Drosophila melanogaster: one gene and its partners. The main gene of each other region encodes a partner of the protein of the gene in region 3 in a complex. Each region holds a gene or a part of one and is shown on either strand. Other genes may lie near its edges.

Region 1 (7,034 bases), about 10 Mb from region 3:
TATTAAGAAACAAAGCTTAAACAATAGTTAAAATATCTTAGCTTTAACCTTTTAGCTTGAATCTTGCCAAAAGACTCTTACTTCGAAAATTGTCATCACTGCCACCAGTCCAATTAGTAAATAAATAGAACTTACCGACTTGGGATAAATTTTTCCATGTCAGGCGTACATAAACCAGTTGCCTTTGCTAATCTGGCCATTTGGCGCCTGTGACGGTCCCGCGCAATGAGCATAGTCAGCTAATAATGGCCCGCATCACCAGTATTCTGGACTTGGACCCCAGTTCTCTGTTGTTCATCTTCAAGCTTCTAAGCTTGGAGGACCAGTTGCACTTGGCGCGATGCTGTCGCATTTTTAGGGATGCCTTTCTTCGCCTGCATCGCCATGATTTCCAGGATGTTGTTGACAAGGATATGAGTATAAGGACTCTGGAGGATTGGCGCACCTTTCTGTGGCTCTGTGGCAGTCGCATCGGTACACTGGAATCCCACTTTGACGATGATCACCCGCTGCAGCTGCTCCCGATGATCAGCAGACACTGCTACCGACTGAAGTCCATCTCTATATACAATGCAACAGTGGCACGGGCGCAACCGTATTTATTGAGGATGAGCTCCCTGGAAAAGGTGCACGTGCGTAACTACAAGAGCACCAGCAAGGATCTAATAAAAGCCATTGGGATACACCTTCCGCGGGTCAACAGTCTGAGCCTGGAGAGCTTTGAACGCAAGGAGTGTAAGAACTATTTAATGTTCACCTTATCACAACAATATTATTTAATTGCTTCTCCCTTCACAGTACAAGAAGTACGTCAGTTTAGCGAGATGCTGGAACTTGGCTTGTACGACGACGTGACCGCCTCGGAATTCGCAACAATTGTGAAACCCATGAGGAAGCTGCGATGCCTTCAGCTGCGCAACGCCAAACGCTTTCTGACTACCAGCAATCTCAGGATGCTGGCCACCAACTGCCGCCACCTGGAGAAGCTGACGTTCAATGACTGCGACGCCGATCTGTTGGTCCTGCCGCAGTTTGTAAACCTCAAGTACCTGCAATTATACTGCTCGGAGGATATGAAAACGCGCCTGTTCAAGGCACTGGCCAAAAGCCAGTGCTCCATTCAGTTGGAATACCTCATCCTGCACCGCAAACGCTGGATTGACGAGGAGCAGGCGCAGTACATCAGTGCTTTGAAGTGTCTCCGGTGGCTGGTCTGCAAGCCTCGTGACGATCTGTGTGTTCACCACTTGGCGAAGTTGAGTCGATTAGAGTGCCTTTCCATACAGTCCGCTCGTGAGATTGGAGAAACGCAGCTCTCCCTTTTGGTGGCCAACAATGAGCGCCTTCGGTATCTGAACATTTGCTATTGCCTGGGCATCACAGACGCCTTCGTCTTGGACACGCTGGCCAGCTTATCGAAACGCTCAGCTCATCAAACCCTAGAGCTATTTGCCGCGGCCACTGACATTAGGCATGACATCATGGAACGGGTGAGTAATATTTAAAGCACATACATATATTCGAAAGTCCTTATGTTAATGTGACACTTTGTGCTTCGTTTGCAGCTACCGCACGAATTTCCCCTGAAAATGCTCTGTTTGAACTTCGAGTGCAGCGATGGAATGACAAGCGGCGGACACTTTTATGCCGATGAGCCGGAATTCGATCGCCAAGCCTTGTGAGGCCTTATTCGTTTAACAACGAATGTTTCTTCAATCATTACCAAAAATACAACGTAAATTATTTAATATTTATACGCAGCTTTATTCGTGATCTTACCACTTTGAGTGGTATTTCTTTTGTTAGTGCACAACGATGTAACTTTTTCACTGCATAATTAAAAAATTACGTCATATTTAAAGTACTGTATCAGGTTGATTGGGGATGTGTGGCTGAACATGATAAGATTACATTTGTAATATTTACAACCATTTAACACTTAGCTTAAATTCGATTGCATCCGCTAGATTGTTCGCGGGATGTTATCGAACTATCGATGGCTCATCGCATTTTTTCGCCCCACCACTGATATTTTGATTTGTTGTTGGGTTGGCGAACAGAGGAAATCGGGAATTCGCTAAGAAAATCTGTTTATAAAACGCAACTAGAGGGCCGCGAAGATGCTGTCCATGCTGCAGGAGAAGCGTCCGCTGAAGCGCACCCGTCTGGGTCCGCCGGACATCTATCCGCAGGACGCGAAGCAGCGAGAGGACGAGCTGACGCCCACGAATGTGAAGCACGGATTCACGACGACGCCACCGCTGTCCGATGAATTCGGTACGGCCCACAACTCGAATGTGAACGCCAGCAAAGTGAGCGCATTCTTTAGCGGCGTCCTGGCCAAGAAGGAGGAGCTGATGACCCTGCCGGACACGGGGCGCAAGAAGCAGCAGATCAACTGCAAGGACAACTTCTGGCCCGTTTCGCCGCGTCGCAAGTGTACGGTGGACGCCTGGTTTAAGGACCTCGCCGGTAACAAACCCCTACTTAGCCTAGCCAAACGGGCTCCATCGTTCAACAAGAAGGAGGAGATCTTCATTACTCTGTGCGAGAACCAGGTGAACATGCAACGCGCCACCTGGTTCATCAAGCTGAGCGCCGCCTATACGCTTAGCTTCACCGAGTCTAAGAACAAAAAGCGATCCATTTACGACCCGGCTGCCGAGTGGACCGGCAACATGATCAAGTTCATGAAAGAGCTGCTTCCCAAGCTCCAAGAGTATTATCAGCAGAGTGAGTACAGTCCTTAAGTTCTATAATCTATCAACTCCCTTATTCAACTTCTTGATTTTAGACCACGACAAGTCCTCTTCGAATGGCACCACTTCCGGAAGCCTGACCGCCGCCGGTAATGGTCCTGCCAGCAATGGCTCCACTGGCACCAGCTCTATTAACTCCGTCACCGGTAGCAGTGCTTCCACGAACGTAATCCCGGTACCCAGCATGGCCAGTCCACTGCCACCGATTCATAGCCCAGCTAATGGCCAACAGGCAGCTCCTGGCGGAGGAGTGAATGCCGGCAGTGTCATGCCGACGACGGGAAGCCTTGGCGGAGTAGTCGGTGGGCCGGGGTCTTCTGTGGTAGGAGGCGCAGCGGGTGCAGGAGCTGCAGTTCCACCAGGCTCTACAATTTCTGGAATTGGAAGCCAGTTCGAAGATAGTCGCAATGCGCTTAAGTATTGGAAATACTGCCACCAATTGAGCAAGTACATGTACGAGGAATCACTTTTGGACCGACAGGAATTTCTAAACTGGATCCTCGACCTTTTGGACAAGATGCGTACGCAGGCAAGCTTCGACGAACCGTTGAAGAAATTGGTGCTCAGCTTTGCCCTTCAGTACATGCACGACTTCGTCCAGTCGGAGCGTCTTTGCAGAAAGATGGCCTACATAGTGTCCAAAAAACTGGCCCAGTTGCTGAACACTGTCGTAGAACAGCAGACCATCAAAGAGTTGGACGAGCCGAAGTTGCAACAAGATCCCTATGAGCTGGCGCTTCAGGAACAAATGAGTTGTCCCCATCATCGGGATATAGTGCTGTATTTAAGCACGATCCTACAGATCATCACAATCGAGTGCCCCACAGCTCTGGTCTGGAGTGGGATAGCAGCTCACCGAGCACCCTCCTCGTTGTTGGGTAGTCCGCTGGACCATTTGCCTTTGGCGCCCTCAGTCTTGCCGATGCCCACACGCTGTCCGCGAACCAATCACGAGATTCGACGTCAATTGCGGGCCGCCGAGTCGGACATCGTATTGCGCACTCAGCATGCAGAGCAGCGCTGGTTTGCAGCCAAGTGGCTGAGTGCCGGCAAGAATCAATACACCAGTGTGCTGGCTACACTGGACCACTTGGACACGCACTGCTTCGATCGCATGGAACACAATAATAGTATCGATACCCTATACGCACAAATATTTCCCAGCCCAACTGTCAGTCGCAGGCGGGAGGAGGATCAGGTGGAACCTCGTCCGCCTTATGAACCCAAACAAGACAAGGACACGGTACGCATTCTGTGCGAGTGGGCTGTGTCGGGGCAGCGTTGGGGAGAACACAGAGCCATGGTGGTGGCCATTCTACTTGACAAGCGCCAGATCGACGTGACAAGCACGCCGGCGGATCAACAATCCAGTGATAAGGATGACAAGGACTCGCTAGCTTCGGGCGCCGGCTTAATTGATGGCCTGCCTGTGTTTCAGCACGTGTTAATGCACTTCCTTGACCACGATGCTCCCGTCCTCGATGAGCACGTGAGCAGTCCACAGCAGCGCACGGAATTTACCAACCTTGTTCAGCTGTTCAGTGCATTGATTCGCCACGATGTCTTTTCGCACAACGCGTACATGCACACTCTAATTTCACGAGGAGATCTGCTCCTGGAGTCGGTGCTGGTGATCAAATCAGGAACAACGGCCACGAAAACATCGCCGCCACCTCCAGCTCCACCACCAACGACGACGCACGGTTTCGATGATGACGGATTCGGCGGGGGCCTGGACTTCAAACACAACGAATTTGATGATTCCAATGTGGACGACGATTTGGACAAACTGGTGCAAAATATTAAGGAGAAAGGACAACAGCACGAAGCTCCAGACAGTCCCAAGATTGGTCCTCCAGGCGATGGAGAAACCAATCCTGGCGGTAGCATATCGCGGCATTACGTGTACACCAAGCACTTCCCCATCCCCCAGGATGATCCCAGCATGAGCAGCTACAGCAGTGAAAGCAACCAGCGATACATCCTGCTCTTCGGAGTCGGCAAAGAGAGGGACGAGAAGAAGCATGCTGTCAAGAAGATGTCTAAGGAAATTGGAAAGCTTTTCACAAAAAAGTTTAGCATAGATGTGGCGGCGGCCGGTCATGTGAAGAAGCACTCGCGCAACGAGTTTAACTTCGAAGCTACCACGTCCAAGTGCCAGCAGATGGCTTATTTCGACCAGCATGTGGTCACAGCCCAATGTGCGGCCAATGTCCTGGAGCAGCTGAACGGATTCGCGTTAGGGAACAACAACTACCTGCCGGTACAGGAGCACGTGGCGTTCCTCTTTGATCTGATGGAGCTGGCTCTTAATATCTACAGTCTTTTGGAACTGTGCGATAGTCTGTTGAAGGAGTTGCCTGAGGTGGAGCACCAGTTGCAGCTAAAGAAGTCAAACCTAGTGCGCAGTTACACCACTTCACTTGCCCTCTACATCGTCAGCATCCTGCGGCGCTACCACAGCTGCCTTCTTCTTTCACCGGAGCAGACGCTGTCTGTTTTTGAGGGAGTCTGTCGTACCATTCGGCACGTATCGAATCCGAGTGAGTGCACTTCGGCGGAGCGCTGCATTATTGCCTACCTGAGCGACCTACACGAGTCGTGTGTTTTGCTCCAGGGAAAGGAACAATCCACGGAGTACTACCAGCAGCTGCAGTGCATCAAGCGGTTCAAGGACATATTCAACACTCCAGAGCAGCTTGAGTGAGTTTAGATCGCAAGTTCTTCCCCAATAATATAATATATAATATTAACAAATATTACCATTTTTTATTTAGCCTACCACCTCAGGGTTACAACCCACTGTTGTTGCAGGAGCTTTTCATGGCCCCTCGACGCGGTGGTAAACTGGATCCTCACTGGCTGGGAACCCTGCACGAGTCGCCGGCCAATGTATACAGTTTCGTGTCTAACGCATTAATAGCCGTCTGCCGAGAGACGGACAACGAGCGGCTGAACGATGTGGCCCTCGCATGTGCCGAACTGACCGCCAGCTGCAACGTCTTGTCTGAGGAGTGGATATACGCACTGCAGAGTCTGTGCAGCGGCAGTAAGAGTCCGCGTTATCCGCACCTGGGCGGACAGGTCGACATTGGACAACTTAAGACTCACAACGCCCTGGCCGTGTTCGTATGCATTCTGGTGGCCAGACATTGCTTCTCACTAGCCGACTTTGTAAGTAAGTTCGCCCTGCCTACATTGGCCCGATCGGTAAGCGCTGGTGGAGCCGAACTGAGTGTAGATGCAGAGGCAGGTGCTCGTCTTACATGTCACTTGGTGCTGAAGCTGTTTAAGACCTTGGAGATTCCTCAACCTGGCATGTACTCGGTAAGCACTTCCCCGAATCCACTGCACGCTGTGGGAAACGACTTTAGCATTCGGCTGAGCTGCGATCGTCATCTTCTGGTGGGTGCCCATAAGACCATTCCCATTGCCGCAGTGCTTGCCGTGCTCAAGGCCATTCTCATTGTTGTGGACAATGCGGCGCTTAAAACACCATTGGCTTCCGGCAGCGGCACCTCCTCTGGCGGATTGGGCGGAGCTTTTGGAAGCGGCAAGCGTAGTGGCTTCAATACACCGGTCCATCCGGGAAGCACACCCAAGAGCAACGAACAACGACCGGCCGATCTCAGCCAGATCCTGGGCACCAGCGATTTACAATTGGGCAGCAGTTTGACAAGCGAACCCGAAGCCCTGCAACAGCCATCGGTCGGAGGAATGGAGCAGATCTCGCTGTTGGAGTTCGCCCAGGCGGTGCTCAAGCAGATCTGCGCCCAGGAACACGTTCTGGAAAGATGCCTAAAGAACGCAGAGCAACTCTGCGACATGATAATCGACGAAATGCTGACCGCGAAACAGGCACAGCGGGTTCTGCACATGATCTGCTATCCGGAGCCTGAGTTTAACATCATCTCCGAACTGGATCAGCGCTCAATGATCGTACGCATACTAGAGAATCTCGGACAGTGGACACTGCGTATCTCGTGGCTGGATCTTCAGCTTATGTACCGCCAATCGCTGAGCAACAACGCGGAGCTTAATGTTTGGCTCGACACAGTGGCACGCGCGGCAATCGACGTCTTCCACATGGAGGAAGTTGTCCTGCCGGGTGCCGTGAAGGCGACCCACAAACCCAAACCGTCCACCTGGCTAGTGGCTCCACTCATCGCTAAACTAACACCAGCGGTGCAGGGCAGGATACTTCGAGTGGCTGGTCAGGTTCTTGAGAGCATGAACTATTTCTCCAAGGTGTCCAAGTCCGATTGCAATAGCTCG
Region 2 (5,713 bases), on a different chromosome or scaffold from region 3:
AAAGTAATTATAAAGCCTAAGTTTAGTCCAATTAGGAGGTAAAACACGCACAAGATGCTGGACCTATACAGACGCACGGTGGCGCGGTTTCCTCTGGGCAGTGTCAGCTATATGTTCGCCTACGGATCCGGCGTCAAACAGCAGGAAGGCTATGGAAAAGTCGGCAATGGAAACAACCTGCGTCCTCCGCCGGGAACCGTTGTGGATCTGGTCTTTTGCGTTCGTGATGCTAGGGGCTTCCATGCGGAGAACCTGCACCGTCATCCGGACCACTATTCCGCCCTTAGGCACCTGGGACCGAACTTTGTGGCCAAGTATCAGGAGCGTTTGGGTGCGGGTGTCTATTGCAACACGTTGGTGCCTCTGCCAGATGTGGGCATTACCATAAAGTACGGCGTGGTGTCGCAGGAGGAGCTGCTGGAGGATCTGCTTGACTGGCGGCATCTTTACTTGGCAGGAAGGCTGCACAAACCAGTGACGAATCTGGTCAATCCTTCTGATAATCCTCCCCTCAAGGCTGCGCTGGAGAGGAATCTTGTATCCGCGCTGCAAGTGGCTCTGCTACTTTTACCAGAGAAGTTCACTGCCTACGGACTTTTCCACACCATCGCCGGACTGAGTTACAAGGGCGATTTCCGTATGATTTTCGGGGAAAACAAACAGAAAGTGCACAACATAGTTAGTCCGCAAATCAATGACTTCTTCGCCCTATACCAACCCTCCCTGGGACAACTTTCCGACTATGTGGCGGTAAACATGAAGGGCCAGGAACCAGGGAGCCGGAAACCAGCCATAATCTTCGAGCAGGACAAATCCTCATCGGCTACATGCCAACACCTGCGACAGTTGCCCCGAGAGCTTCAGAAGCGATTGCAGCGAAATGCCGCCTGTCGTGGCGACTACACCCAGGTGGTGAATCACCTATCCATGGCCTCCCAGCTTCCGGAGGTGCTGCAGGCATCCGTCAACGACATTGTGTGGCGCAGCAGTGTCACGCAATCGATCAAAAATATTCCCAGTGCTGGCATTCTCAAGTCATTGGCGTATAGCTATCGCAAGGCTCAAAAGACATTCGCTGTTTAGGTTTATTTTTCGGGTTAATCCCCTGGCTGCCAATCATTCTACCGACTAAGTTGTCCCATCCAGCTGCATTTTGTTAAATACTTTTAAGCTTTAAAGTTGTTAACTGCAATATAATGTTTAGCCCAATCCAAAGACCTGAGTTTTCTTGGGGATTCTCTCTTTTCACATCCAATGGACCTCTTTATAACCTCAGGAATATCTTGGTTTACTTATTATTTCATTAATTGTATTTGCAGATCATGTCCAGCGACGACAATAGTAGTGATAGCAATTCGTCCAGCGATGAAAGGCAAAGGAAACGGAAGCTTAAGAAGCACAGCAAAGATGTGGACAAGTCCAAAAAGAAGAAGTCGAAAAAGCACAAGAAAGAAAAGCGTCGCCACAAGGAGAAGAAACGCAGCAAGCATGAGGAGGAGCCACCTGTGCCTTACACGCAACCTCCACATTTAATTAATGCATCTCCGCCAGATGTGGCTACAAACAACGAAGATTCCTTTGGTCCCGCTTTACCGCCGCATTTAAGGAAGACCCAGCAGCCGGAACTCCCTGAGCAAAGCCAACCAGCCCCACAACCGCAGGCCATGATAGGACCCGTCCTGCCCAGCAATTTGACCCGGGAAAAGTCTCCTACTAAGGAAGCGGAAGCTGAGGACGATGATGACCTAGCTGGCACCTTTGGTCCTCTGCCAAATGCCAGTCAAGTGGCTCTGGAGGAACGTGCTTTGGCACTTAAACTGGCAGCTCTGGAGGGCGGGGGATTGGGTACATCTACAGACCAAGATGTCCGCGAAGAGTGGATGCTTGAGCTGCCAGATGTGGGACTGAAGAGCGGCCTTGCCGCCCTGAGCAATATGAAGCGCACTTTCTATCAGGGAAAAGAGCGACCCGACTTTAGCGATCGATCATCCTGGACGAAGACCCCGCAGAGTGAAGCGGATGCTGCTGCATCGGGCCCAAAGTCGCTCAGTTCGAAGGAACTCGAGCAAATGGCACAGGTCAAGTACGAACAGCAGCGGGATGACGAGCAGGAGAGCATGGCCAAGAGGCACAAAAAGAAGCACAAGCGAGAGGAGTCCCTAGTGGAGCTACATCAAAAAAAGCTTAGGAAAGAGCAGAGAGAAAAGGTACGAGGAAAAATATTTCTTAAAAACATAATATGGATATAATATTGTTATAAATTTAAGGAAAAAGAACTGGCTGCATCGGGTTCCAAGCCAGAACGAAGACCTTTTAGTAGGGATGTGGACTTGAAACTTAACAAGATCGACAAGAATCAGACCAAGCAGATTGTAGACAAGGCCAAGATATTGAACACCAAGTTCTCCAGGGGTCAAGCTAAGTATCTGTAGGTTAAATGAACCATAAAAAATCCAGACGATCCGTACCGCATGTTAATCTTAAGCAATTATGTAATTTAATTTAGAAATAATTATTATAAAGGCAAAATAATTTGTAAATGACATTTTTGATTGCTTAGTCACCTAGCTTAAACTTTCGTTTAATTGGCATAAATACATTGGTAATATGAGTACAAACACACAATTGGGCAATACCAGCTAATGATGAATGATTATGAAGCTCTTCTAACGCTGAGGCGGTGGTTTCGGTTTCGGAATCTTGGACAGCAGCATCTGAATCTCGTCCTTTTCCTTCCAGTCCTTCCACAACTCGTACAGATTTACAATGGCGCGCACGATCTCCTGGACCTTGTCTAAATCAACATTCAATTCTGCGAACCACTGCTTCGTGGCGTCCTTTTGCAGGATGACGCAGGCGATTTGAAGGCAGGCTATAGCGATCTAGAAAAAAATAGGTTCTTCAAATGTGAGGAAGCTGTAGAAATTATCAGGATCACAAACCTGGTAAGGAGGATAGAGCAGGCAGACATCGGTGCGCAGGGAATCGTTTACGATACGCCAGCTCAGGGTGAGCAACTGGTCCTCCTGGCCCATGTCCTGAACCAGCTGCAGCAGCGGTCTGTACGGCTGGTAGACAATCAAGCAGCAATCCAGGTTCTCCAGCAGGTAAAACTCGCACTCCAGGATGTGATTGGTGCGGTAGGGAAACTCCTGAGCGTACGCATAGCTGAACTTTGTCTTAATGGCCGACTGGCAGATCGAGATCAGTCGTGAATTGGAAATGACACCGAACTCCTCCACCTTCGAGGCCAGCAAGATGCAAGTGGGCGCCAGCAGCAGAGGATCGATGTTCTTCAGGGAGTTCCTCGCATAGAATCTCTTGAAGTAAACCGTCGCCGTGGCGATGACCTGTTGCCTCAGCTTTAGCTGCTCGCCGAGCACCTGGATCACATTTGCGAAGAAAATAAACACCTTTTGGTATTCATCCTCGTTAAGGGCCAACAAATCGTGCTGACGCTCCCGGAGCAGATCGGGTTTGTCCAAAATCCACTGCTGCGAGTGCGAACTCTGCCAAAAATTGCCCGCCATTTCGTAACTAGTAGGCCTAGCTGATTAGGTCGGCCAATATTTTCGTGTTAGCTATCCAAATTAGGTGTTTATTTCAATAGCAAGCCGGAAAACCAGGAAAAACGAAAAAATTGTGTTGCCGTTTCAGCCAGTGTGTGCACACCAGGGCTATTTTCCACGAACAGCTGACTGGCCGCAGCCAACTTTGCGCAGCGCAGTACATTGGTGTGTGTGTGTGAATTTTTCATCAGCGCCGCGGCCACAGACGAAAAAGTCTTAAATATTTTTTAGTAATAGGCTATTGAACGAATTAATAAAACGATGGCGTTGCGAGTTCTTGGCGTGACGCAGAATATGCGCTCCTTCATGCGGGGCGTTGACATGATCAAAGTAAGTCCAGACAGCCATCCAATGATTACGCTTCCGAGGATTTAAATTACGTAATTGTAAATGATTGTGTTTTTGGTTGCAATTGTGGTTTATTCTTGTGAGAAAAGGGATAAACAACCTCTTGTTGGTCAGTTATTCAAGAGCCATCCAGTTTTTCAAACAAATATTTGGGAAAACTGTTTGGAAAACCCACTACAAGCACTTTGAGGTTATGTTCGTGTTTTACTTAACTCTGGGCTATAGTTTTCCCAATTTTCCCGAACTTACAGCGATACAAGTCGGCTGCCACCCTACAGAAGACTCTGCTGAACATACCCGCCACCCAGGTGACCAAGCTGGACAACGGTCTCCGCGTGGCTAGCGAGGATTCCGGTGCCTCTACCGCCACCGTGGGACTGTGGATCGATGCTGGGTCGCGCTCCGAGAACGAGAAGAACAACGGAGTGGCCCACTTCCTGGAGCACATGGCCTTCAAGGTTGGCTCACTAGCTTGATGCTTTAAATGCGTATAATATGCGTTTCTGCCACTTTTTAGGGTACCGCCAAGCGCTCGCAAACGGATTTGGAGCTGGAGGTTGAGAACCTGGGCGCCCACTTGAACGCCTACACTTCCAGGGAGCAGACCGTCTTCTACGCCAAGTGTTTGTCCAAGGATGTGCCCAAAGCCGTCGAGATCCTGGCCGACATCATCCAGAACTCCAAGCTGGGTGAGGCTGAGATCGCCCGCGAGCGTTCGGTGATTCTGCGCGAGATGCAGGAGGTGGAGAGCAACCTGCAGGAGGTGGTCTTCGATCACCTTCACGCCACCGCCTATCAGGGCACTCCTCTGGGCCAGACCATCCTGGGACCCACCAAGAACATTCAGTACGTATATTCAGCTCTTATAACAAATGCTCTGTCTCTAATTAAAATCTTCATTTATTTAGGTCCATTGGCAAGGCCGATCTGACCGACTACATCCAGACCCACTACAAGGCTTCGCGCATCGTTCTGGCCGCTGCTGGCGGCGTCAAGCACGATGATCTGGTCAAGCTTGCCTGCAGCAGCTTGGGTGGCCTGGAGGCCAGTGTGCTGCCCGCGGAGGTGACTCCCTGCCGCTTCACCGGCTCCGAGGTGCGTGTGCGCGACGATTCCCTGCCCCTGGCCCATGTCGCCATCGCCGTCGAAGGCTGCGGCTGGACCGACCAGGACAACATCCCCCTGATGGTGGCCAACACCTTGGTGGGTGCTTGGGATCGTTCCCAAGGCGGTGGCGCCAACAACGCCTCCAACCTGGCCCGTGCCAGCGCTGAGGACAGTAAGTGTACATCAGTAAGACGACCAGGATATGGAGATTATTAACTATTATTGCCCTACAGACCTTTGCCACAGCTTCCAATCGTTCAACACATGCTACAAGGACACCGGACTCTGGGGCATTTACTTCGTGTGCGACCCTCTGCAGTGCGAGGTAAGAAGAATTAATGATTCAACAGAAAACTCTCGAGAGAAAGCAAATTTTACGTAAACAAACCTCTTCCCCAGGATATGCTCTTCAACGTGCAGACCGAGTGGATGCGTCTGTGCACCATGGTTACCGAGGCTGAGGTCGAGCGCGCCAAGAACCTTCTGAAGACCAACATGCTGCTGCAGCTCGACGGCACCACACCCATCTGCGAGGACATTGGCCGCCAGATCCTGTGCTACAACCGCCGCATCCCGCTGCACGAGCTGGAGCAGCGCATCGATGCCGTGAGTGTGGGCAATGTGCGCGACGTCGCAATGAAGTACATCTACGATCGGTGCCCAGCCGTCGCTGCCGTGGGTCCCGTTGA
Region 3 (7,492 bases):
GAGCTCGACCGTTTGGTCGAACTGCTCGCGAAACGTCCGGAGCTGGAAGCGCCCTGTGACGAGCCCGAGGGCCGGCTATCCGCACCCTTGTCCTCGTCGTCATCGTCGTCGTCCTCCTCCTGGATCAGTTTTCGTGCCAGTTTGACGGCCTCAAACTCGCGATAGTGGGCCTTACGGCGTCGCTCGAATTCGCGCCGCCGTTCTGCAAGCAAATATGTTTGAGCAATTGTTGGAATCTGAGATGTTCATGGTACTTACGTCGCTCCTCTTCGCTAAGGGGCTGGTCATCACCGGAGGAACCATCGTCCTCGATGCTCTCTGTCGACGGCTGTGTGTTAGCCGCTATGCGGAGTCTGCAAATTAGTATGTGTTTTTAGTAATTGTAAGTGCAATAATATGTAAACTACAAAATGACTGGCACGGCTTTAAAATAAGTCTTCAAATTTCAAAAAAAACTTTTTCTTTTCAAACAAATTATTGATTATGAATTTAGCTAGTTATATTCTTAAGAAATCTGAGGCAGTCATATTGCTCAATAATGTTGATATATTTGATTATCATTTTGCAAATCGTATAATTATCAACGATTGTTTAATCTCTGAATCTATAAGTCACATGTAAACAAACAAATGTGAACGGCGCATTTTCTGGAAATCAGTTTTGTTTGAAACTTGATACTCTGTGCTCTTGCCAAACCATTTAGCAAGTAAACAATAGGAAAGCTCCACATACTTCTCCACTAGCAACTCCGTGTCCAGCTCGTCCCTGTTCTCGTCGAAGCCCTCCGTGTAGTTGTACGGCGTTTTGGGCTCATCGATTTTCATGTGTCCGTAGTCCTTGTCGGCCGGATGGAAGGTCTGCATCACGTTCAGCTCATCGAACTTGGCACTTTTGCGAAAACTTTTTAAAAGGATGAAAAAGAAACCAATTAATAAGGGCTATTAACTGGGGTCATTCGATGACCTCACCTGGCTCCCGACTTGTCGAAGCTACGCGAAGTCTTTAGTATACCCTTGCAGGGTAGCTGTGGGCTGGGATTGTTCTGCATCCTGGCTATCTGTGTTACCTGTAACAATGGGCAAAGACCAGAGTGTGCTTTAGTTGCGAACAATGCACGCGGATAATTACGTCAGGCGGTTGGGAGTCATTGATGATTTCGTAGATTTTATGGTTGTTGTTTCTGTTGCTGCTGCCACTGTTGCTGCTGGACAATCGTGAATCACGGCGGCAGTAGCCGAACAGGCACTGAAATCGCGATGTTCGCCAGATTATAATGGCACAGGTCGCGGCGAAACCTCGTGCCCTTGGAGGGGTTGCCATTGCCGCCCACTGGGTGGCCACTACGGCCAGCAATGCCCCACCAACACCCCGCTGGACATCCGACGCATTGTTGTCGTCCGCCTCCGCCTGCACCACCGCCTCCATTCCGAATCCCACTTACTTGTGTGACTTTCGCCTGTTAACTGCAATTGCAACTGCGTTTCCGGAGGGCAATTTACGCCACAATCTTCAAGTTGGCAGCCAGCTGGGTTTTGGGCGAGGGCCACGATCTCATCGATGTCGCCAGACGGGCGGTTTTGATCTTAATTTGGAAAACGTTAGATTTGGCTCTTTACGCTTTAATGGTCACTGTGTGGATATTCTCTTCTAATTTGTATTGCAAAGCAAATGGCAAATCCGGTAAAATATTCTAACAAATTCTACTAGAGCTGGCAACACAGCGATGGCACCTTCGATTACATTTAATCGATACTTGCGTATCGTGACCCAAGCCGACACAAAAACATAACATGCTTTAAATAAATAGCTCAGACTCGAACCAATTTTAAAAATAGTTTTCAAAACTTCGTTTGAGAAATTCATTTTTGAGAGGAAAGAACATGCATTCAAATTTATTTTTGAATATCCTTCGGAAAGATATTTCAACGAATTTGAGTTAATTGGAGTTCACAAAATTAAATAAAGAAAACCCTGTCCATTAAAAATCAACGTTTTATATCGTACACTTTACTTGCTATTATCAAGGTCATTAAATTAAATACTTAGAAGGCTAGAAATTAGTAGGTGTTGTAGAAAAAATGCTGCATGTATCAGTCTCTCAGTTGAAGCGCTGGAAGTTCTGCTGCTGATTGAACATCATCTGTTGCTGCTGCTGCTGCTGTTGTTGCTGCTGCTGCTGTTGCTGCTGCTGCTGGTGGTGAAAATCTTGCTGGTTACCAGCTCCGGACAATCGAACTCTCTTTGCATTCGGCTCAGCGTTCATTTGCTGCTGCTGCTGCTGCTGTTGTTGTTGCTGCTGCTGTTGCTGCTGCTGTTGCTGCTGTTGTTGCTGCTGCTGTTGCTGCTGTCGCTTATTATCCGACTTATCTTCCTGGTCGTCGTCGGTGAGGAATTCACGCTTGGGATACGGTATGGGGCAGCCGGCGAACACGTCCTGCGTGGGCTGCGGCTCCTCCTGGAAGTACTGATCCTGCATGGCCTGTTCGGAGGTGATGCGCTTGTTGGGATCCATTAGCAGCAGCTTCTGCAGCAGGTGAAAGGCCTTGCTGTCTGGCTTTATTTTGTGCCTTTCCATGTATTTGGCCAGCGAGCAGGTGGAGTATGTGGAGCGTTTAAAGTCCTTTGTCAGCGTATGATGTTCCGGCATCTTCTTGATATCCTCCCAGTCCTTGTCCTGCGGAAAGCCCATCACATTGAAGATGCGGTCTAGCTGATCGTGATGGTACGGATTACTGGTCTTTATGTCCTCCTGGCGGCAATGGAAGATGGGCTCCGAAGTGAGTAGTTCGGCGAAAATACAGCCAATAGCCCAGATGTCGATAGCCTTGGTGTAGTGACGAGCGCCAAGCAGCAGTTCCGGAGCGCGATACCAAAAGGTAACCACCACGGGATCCAGATCTGCCAGCGGTTTCAATGGGGCATTGAAGAGCCGCGCGAAACCCATGTCGGCGATTTTTACGCGGCCCCTCTCGTTGCCATCGCCCATCACCAGGATGTTGGCCGGCTTCAGGTCACGATGTAGCACCCAATTACTGTGCAGATAGTGAATCCCATCCAGAATCTGATATAGCAGACTTTTAACCATACCGCGGGGAACCACAACCTGCTTTTTGGTGGCCTTAGCAGCCCGATGGAACTTAATGATGTGCCACAGGTCGTGCTCCGCATAGTCGATCAACAGGAACACCTTGCGGTCGTTGTGCGACAGAAACACCCGGATGAGGGTAATTACGTTCTGATGCTTCAGTTCGCGCAGCAATGCGATCTCGCGGCAGGCGGACATGGACAATCCGGTGCCGTCGATCTGCTTCAAGGCATATTCTTTGCCATCGCTAAAGAACATGAATACTATAATTATTTATATTGTTTGAAGAGCACCCGATGACCAGTTCACCTTGTCTCCTTCCATTTCGCCTTGTAGACGTGGCCGTATGTTCCGCGTCCCACCTTACAGCCCTCGTAGTTGAATAGGTCCTCCACTTTCGTACGCTCTATCTGCGTTTTCATCTTGAAATCGTAGTCCATTTTTACAAAAGTTTGCAAATTCCACAATTGTTTGTAAATGAAGATGCCGCCAATCAGCTGTCTCCCGATAACGATAACACAGCCTTAACCAGGGATGGAAAATGGGAACAGTGCTCGCCATACCTAGCTTTTTTTATAGCTAGCCTTTTAAAACAGAAAACATTTTTTTATAATTTTGTTTTTTTTAATTTTTTGTTTACTGTTTAAAAAATTCTATTGTATCCACAAACAAGCAAAGCCAGAAAAACTTTCTGTATATTTCATTCAACCTCGTAAAAAAAAAACTTGTTTCTAAAGAAAGAAAGAAAATAGAAATATAATCCCCCTAAATATTTTTGAATTCTGAACCAAATCAAATACATATATATTGGATGTTATATAGAAAAATAGGTAATCCAATAGTACTTGACAAGGTGCTTGTATAATCCTATCACAATAAAATATGAAAGCTCTATCAATAATAAACTCAAAAGAAAACGAAATCAAAATTTATCCATTGGCGATACGCTTTATTTTTCCCTTGGAAAATATCTATGTTTTTATTTTCGATTCTTTGTACCAACAACTTATCAGCTAGGCATGGTAAAAGTAAACTATAATTGTGTCCTTAAAATGCAAGTGAAATTATATGTATATGAACCACGTTGGAAACTCCAAACAATTTAAATTCATAGCAACATCTCGTCGTGTTTCTTTCTCCGTTTCGTATCTCTATGTACATTATGCAGATATTAGAATTAAGAAATGCACAAATTATTGGATTGGAATGCATAAACAAAAGGCAATATGATTGAACGCGGCGAAGGAAGACACTTTTCAATGCGATTGATGAACACTGAACTAAATATGGCAAAAATTAGATTATTTAACATTCTAGTTCTAGATGTAAATTACATGTGTAATTAATATGGAAGAGCTTTGGAAACAAATCGGTGGAAGTAAGTCGAAGCTAACCAAATCGTGTTTGTGTAACAATTAACTTGTTTTTCGTTTTAAGTTTAATATGAAATTAAATGCATTTAATAAATATAGGTGTGCGTGCGTATGTGTTTGTATATGCAAAATGGAAGTAAATTTGTTCTTAACAATGCTTTTTGTTTGTATTCTAGAATTTGCCGAATACATATCGTGTGTTGTTTAACATTAGCTGTATGACAGTTATATAAAGTAAATATACATGTAAATGTATGTTTTTTTCATGCTTTTCGCAGTATTTTTCTCGCGTTCAGATTGCGTTAGAATTATTTGCTTTTCGCGTGTGTCGCCTCTGGGCAAAACGCCTAGTTTAGTTGATTTTTTAGAAATTTTTGCTACGCCTAAATTAACTGGTATAATGAAGTTAATCATACACATGTACATACATACTGTGGGATATATATATACTCGTGTATCTGCTATTTACATCTTTTCATTTTCATTTCGCTACTCATCATCCCGCCGATACTTAACTTAGGCTAGGCTTTAAAAAATCTTAGCAGTTTCTGAGTTTTTAGTAGTTTAGGCTTATAAAGTTATCAGTTTTCAGTGGTTCTCTGCCCTCTTTGCGCTCACACAAGTATAGAAATGCTCTTTCCATATTGGGTATTTTGTTTTCGTGTAAAAATAATGTTAGCACATACAAAAAAATAAATAGGCTTATAAATATTTAGATTTCGTTTCCGTTCCTCTTGTTTTCTCCTCGTGTTGTTGTAGCTGGTGTAGGCGGTACCGTAAAAATCTGGTGTATAAAAACTGTTAATTAAAAAAACTTAGTCTAGACCTTTACAACGTTAAACTCGTAAAAATGATACAAAAAAAAACAAGAGCCTAGAAATTAGCACAATTAATCGTTTTGTACAGCAGCATCCTCTGGTTGCGTAGGAGCGGTAGGGGGTTGTGTTTGCCACATCGATGCGTATTCCTTTACCTGGTCGTGATAATGGCCCGCGGCAAAGCGAATACGCACAGCCTTGAACGCTAATAAATCGGTGGAGCTGGCTGCGATGACGATGTGGTGCTGGGCGGTGCGGCCACCACACTTGATGTGGTCGATGATGGACTGGAGGAGGATCCATTGCCGCAGTTATTGTTGTTCAAATTGTTGTTGTGGCGCTGCAGTTGATGGCTGCGCAGGGGCTGGAACTGCGACTGCTGTTGCTGGAGCTGCTGATGGTGCTGCTGTTGCTGCTGATGGAACGGCAATCTCTGCTGCTGATACTGCATGTTGTGCAGACAGTAGGCGTTCATGTTGCTCGTAGCTGGCTGATAAGGATACGCCCGAACGTTCTGCATTTGCGGCAGCACTGGCTGCGGCTGGAACTGCTGAAGTTGCTGCTGCTGCTGCTGTTGCTGTTGCTGCTGATGTTGCTGCTGCTGGTGATGCTGCTGATTCAACTGGCCGGCGGCTCGCATCATATGCCAATAGTTATCATCGCCAATGGGTGCCTGTCTGCTGCCGTATTTCAGTTGCCGCGTAATGCCCTGCTTGTAGTCCCGATGATCTCTATCGATGGCATAGGCCTTCTCTCTCAGCTTCTCAATCGTTCGCTTGAACTCAGCGAAGGCCTGTGGTGAATGCTTCTGCAGATCGGTGGCCAGCGGCACCAGAGGATTGTGCTGTTGGTGTTGCGTCTGCGACAGAGACTGGTGATAGGTGAGCGGATCTAGCAGTGACTCCAGCACACTCATGTTAGACATGATCAGCGTGTGGATGCGCTGCAGATCGAGCGCTGGATCCAGCGCCGTTACTAAATCCATCTGGAAGTAGTCCATCGTCTTGTCCAACACCTTCTTACAGCCCGGTGAATTCTCATCCGACCGGCCGCAGCAGCTGTAGAATCCACTTACAAAGGCCGAGGGATGGAAGTACTGCATCCGGATGGAGTTCATCAGACATATCTTGTGCAGCAGGTCGAACCACTCGCGCTCCTCCACGCAGTTCGTTGTCTGCACAATCAGCGAGCGATCGTTGTGCACAATCTGTGGGAGAAGAGGCGAAAGTAAATCTTAGTCTCATCTTTGTGCAATTAACATAAATTCTGTGCGCGGCGCAATTGCAAAACAATCGCACCCAAGTGAAATCGCTGGCTGAGACAATTCCCACATCTTGGCTGCGTTAAAAAATAAGAAAACGTAACGCCAAGAAATCGCACCCACGTTGACGATTCTCTTCTGCGTCGGCTGCATTGGTTTCTAGGTTTTGAAATTTCCCTTTTTTGCCTTACTACCTTCAAATGGCAATAACAATAGCGTACGCAAAGCGGAGCTCCGCCAGTTCATCTGCATAATAATGCTAATTATTTTTAATTGCCGCAACTTGTCATTTGCCACACAAAACTCTGTGAGTGATTAGTGAAAGTTTCGCGGGCAACTGACTGGAGGTTCGGTTTTCACTGTCGCCGAGGATGGGCCTGCCTGCTGCCGCCATCGATTAGCAGCCACTGCTCTACGCCCACACAGAGTCACATCGTTCAGTCATGAGCTTGCCGCCGGAGGCAGTGATGATGTTTTTTTTTTAGAACGAAATGAAACCTAATTATAGATAGACTAAAAAGAAAGAACTATGCGGCTATAGGATTTATTTGCTTTCTAAAGAAGTTTAACGCTTGGAAAGTTAGAGTACTAACTATAACTCCTACTATTCTTTCTGACATGTAAGCTCCATCTAATGCTTTGCAAGTTCGCAACCTAACCATCTAGCATGTAACACCAGCTAAATTACCATCACTGCCCGGAGGTGTGTGGGCTTTGGCTGCCTATTTATAGATGTGGCGTGGATCGCACGTTTCCGGCACACCACTGCTCTCGTGTGCATTATTCGTTGCAACACATGCAAATCACAGCCGAACCAATTGAAATCGAAGCACATCGAATGAATGCTCACCTTAAAGCAGTTCTGCATCTTGAAACTCTTGTCCTTCAGCTGCTCCACGCTGGCGATCTCCTGGAGCGGTATATCACAGATGGGTTGTTTGCCCTTCGACTTCGC

Evidence for each region.
Region 1: Cdk8 (region 3) and kto share a complex: the UniProt entries of both Drosophila melanogaster proteins name them as parts of the cdk8 module of the Mediator complex.
Region 2: Cdk8 (region 3) and CycC share a complex: the UniProt entries of both Drosophila melanogaster proteins name them as parts of the cdk8 module of the Mediator complex.

What each region holds. Positions count from the first base shown.
Region 1 is NT_037436.4:19,834,556-19,841,589, forward strand, and holds the start of kto (kohtalo), read left to right. Parts: upstream 1-2,058; 5' UTR 2,059-2,120; coding exon 2,121-2,733; intron 2,734-2,794; coding exon 2,795-5,462; intron 5,463-5,536; coding exon 5,537-7,034. Other genes in the region: CG32221 (uncharacterized protein), read left to right, coding at 246-735, 799-1,490, 1,566-1,682. UniProt on the Drosophila melanogaster protein: Component of the Mediator complex, a coactivator involved in regulated gene transcription of nearly all RNA polymerase II-dependent genes.
Region 2 is NT_033777.3:14,886,528-14,892,240, forward strand, and holds CycC (cyclin C), read right to left. Parts: upstream 3,679-5,713; 5' UTR 3,531-3,678; coding exon 2,943-3,530; intron 2,883-2,942; coding exon 2,667-2,882; 3' UTR 2,477-2,666; downstream 1-2,476. Other genes in the region: CG33331 (uncharacterized protein), read left to right, coding at 55-1,083; CG33332 (uncharacterized protein), read left to right, coding at 1,323-2,207, 2,268-2,432; UQCR-C1 (Ubiquinol-cytochrome c reductase core protein 1), read left to right, coding at 3,831-3,899, 4,169-4,375, 4,435-4,763, 4,826-5,196, 5,258-5,349, 5,424-5,713. UniProt on the Drosophila melanogaster protein: Component of the Mediator complex, a coactivator involved in regulated gene transcription of nearly all RNA polymerase II-dependent genes.
Region 3 is NT_037436.4:9,835,081-9,842,572, forward strand, and holds Cdk8 (Cyclin-dependent kinase 8), read right to left. Parts: upstream 3,591-7,492; 5' UTR 3,526-3,590; coding exon 3,395-3,525; intron 3,333-3,394; coding exon 2,099-3,332; 3' UTR 2,000-2,098; downstream 1-1,999. Other genes in the region: I-2 (Inhibitor-2), read right to left, coding at 1-202, 259-353, 733-900, 969-1,066, 1,129-1,425; RasGAP1 (Ras GTPase activating protein 1), read right to left, coding at 5,482-6,483, 7,388-7,492. UniProt on the Drosophila melanogaster protein: Component of the Mediator complex, a coactivator involved in regulated gene transcription of nearly all RNA polymerase II-dependent genes.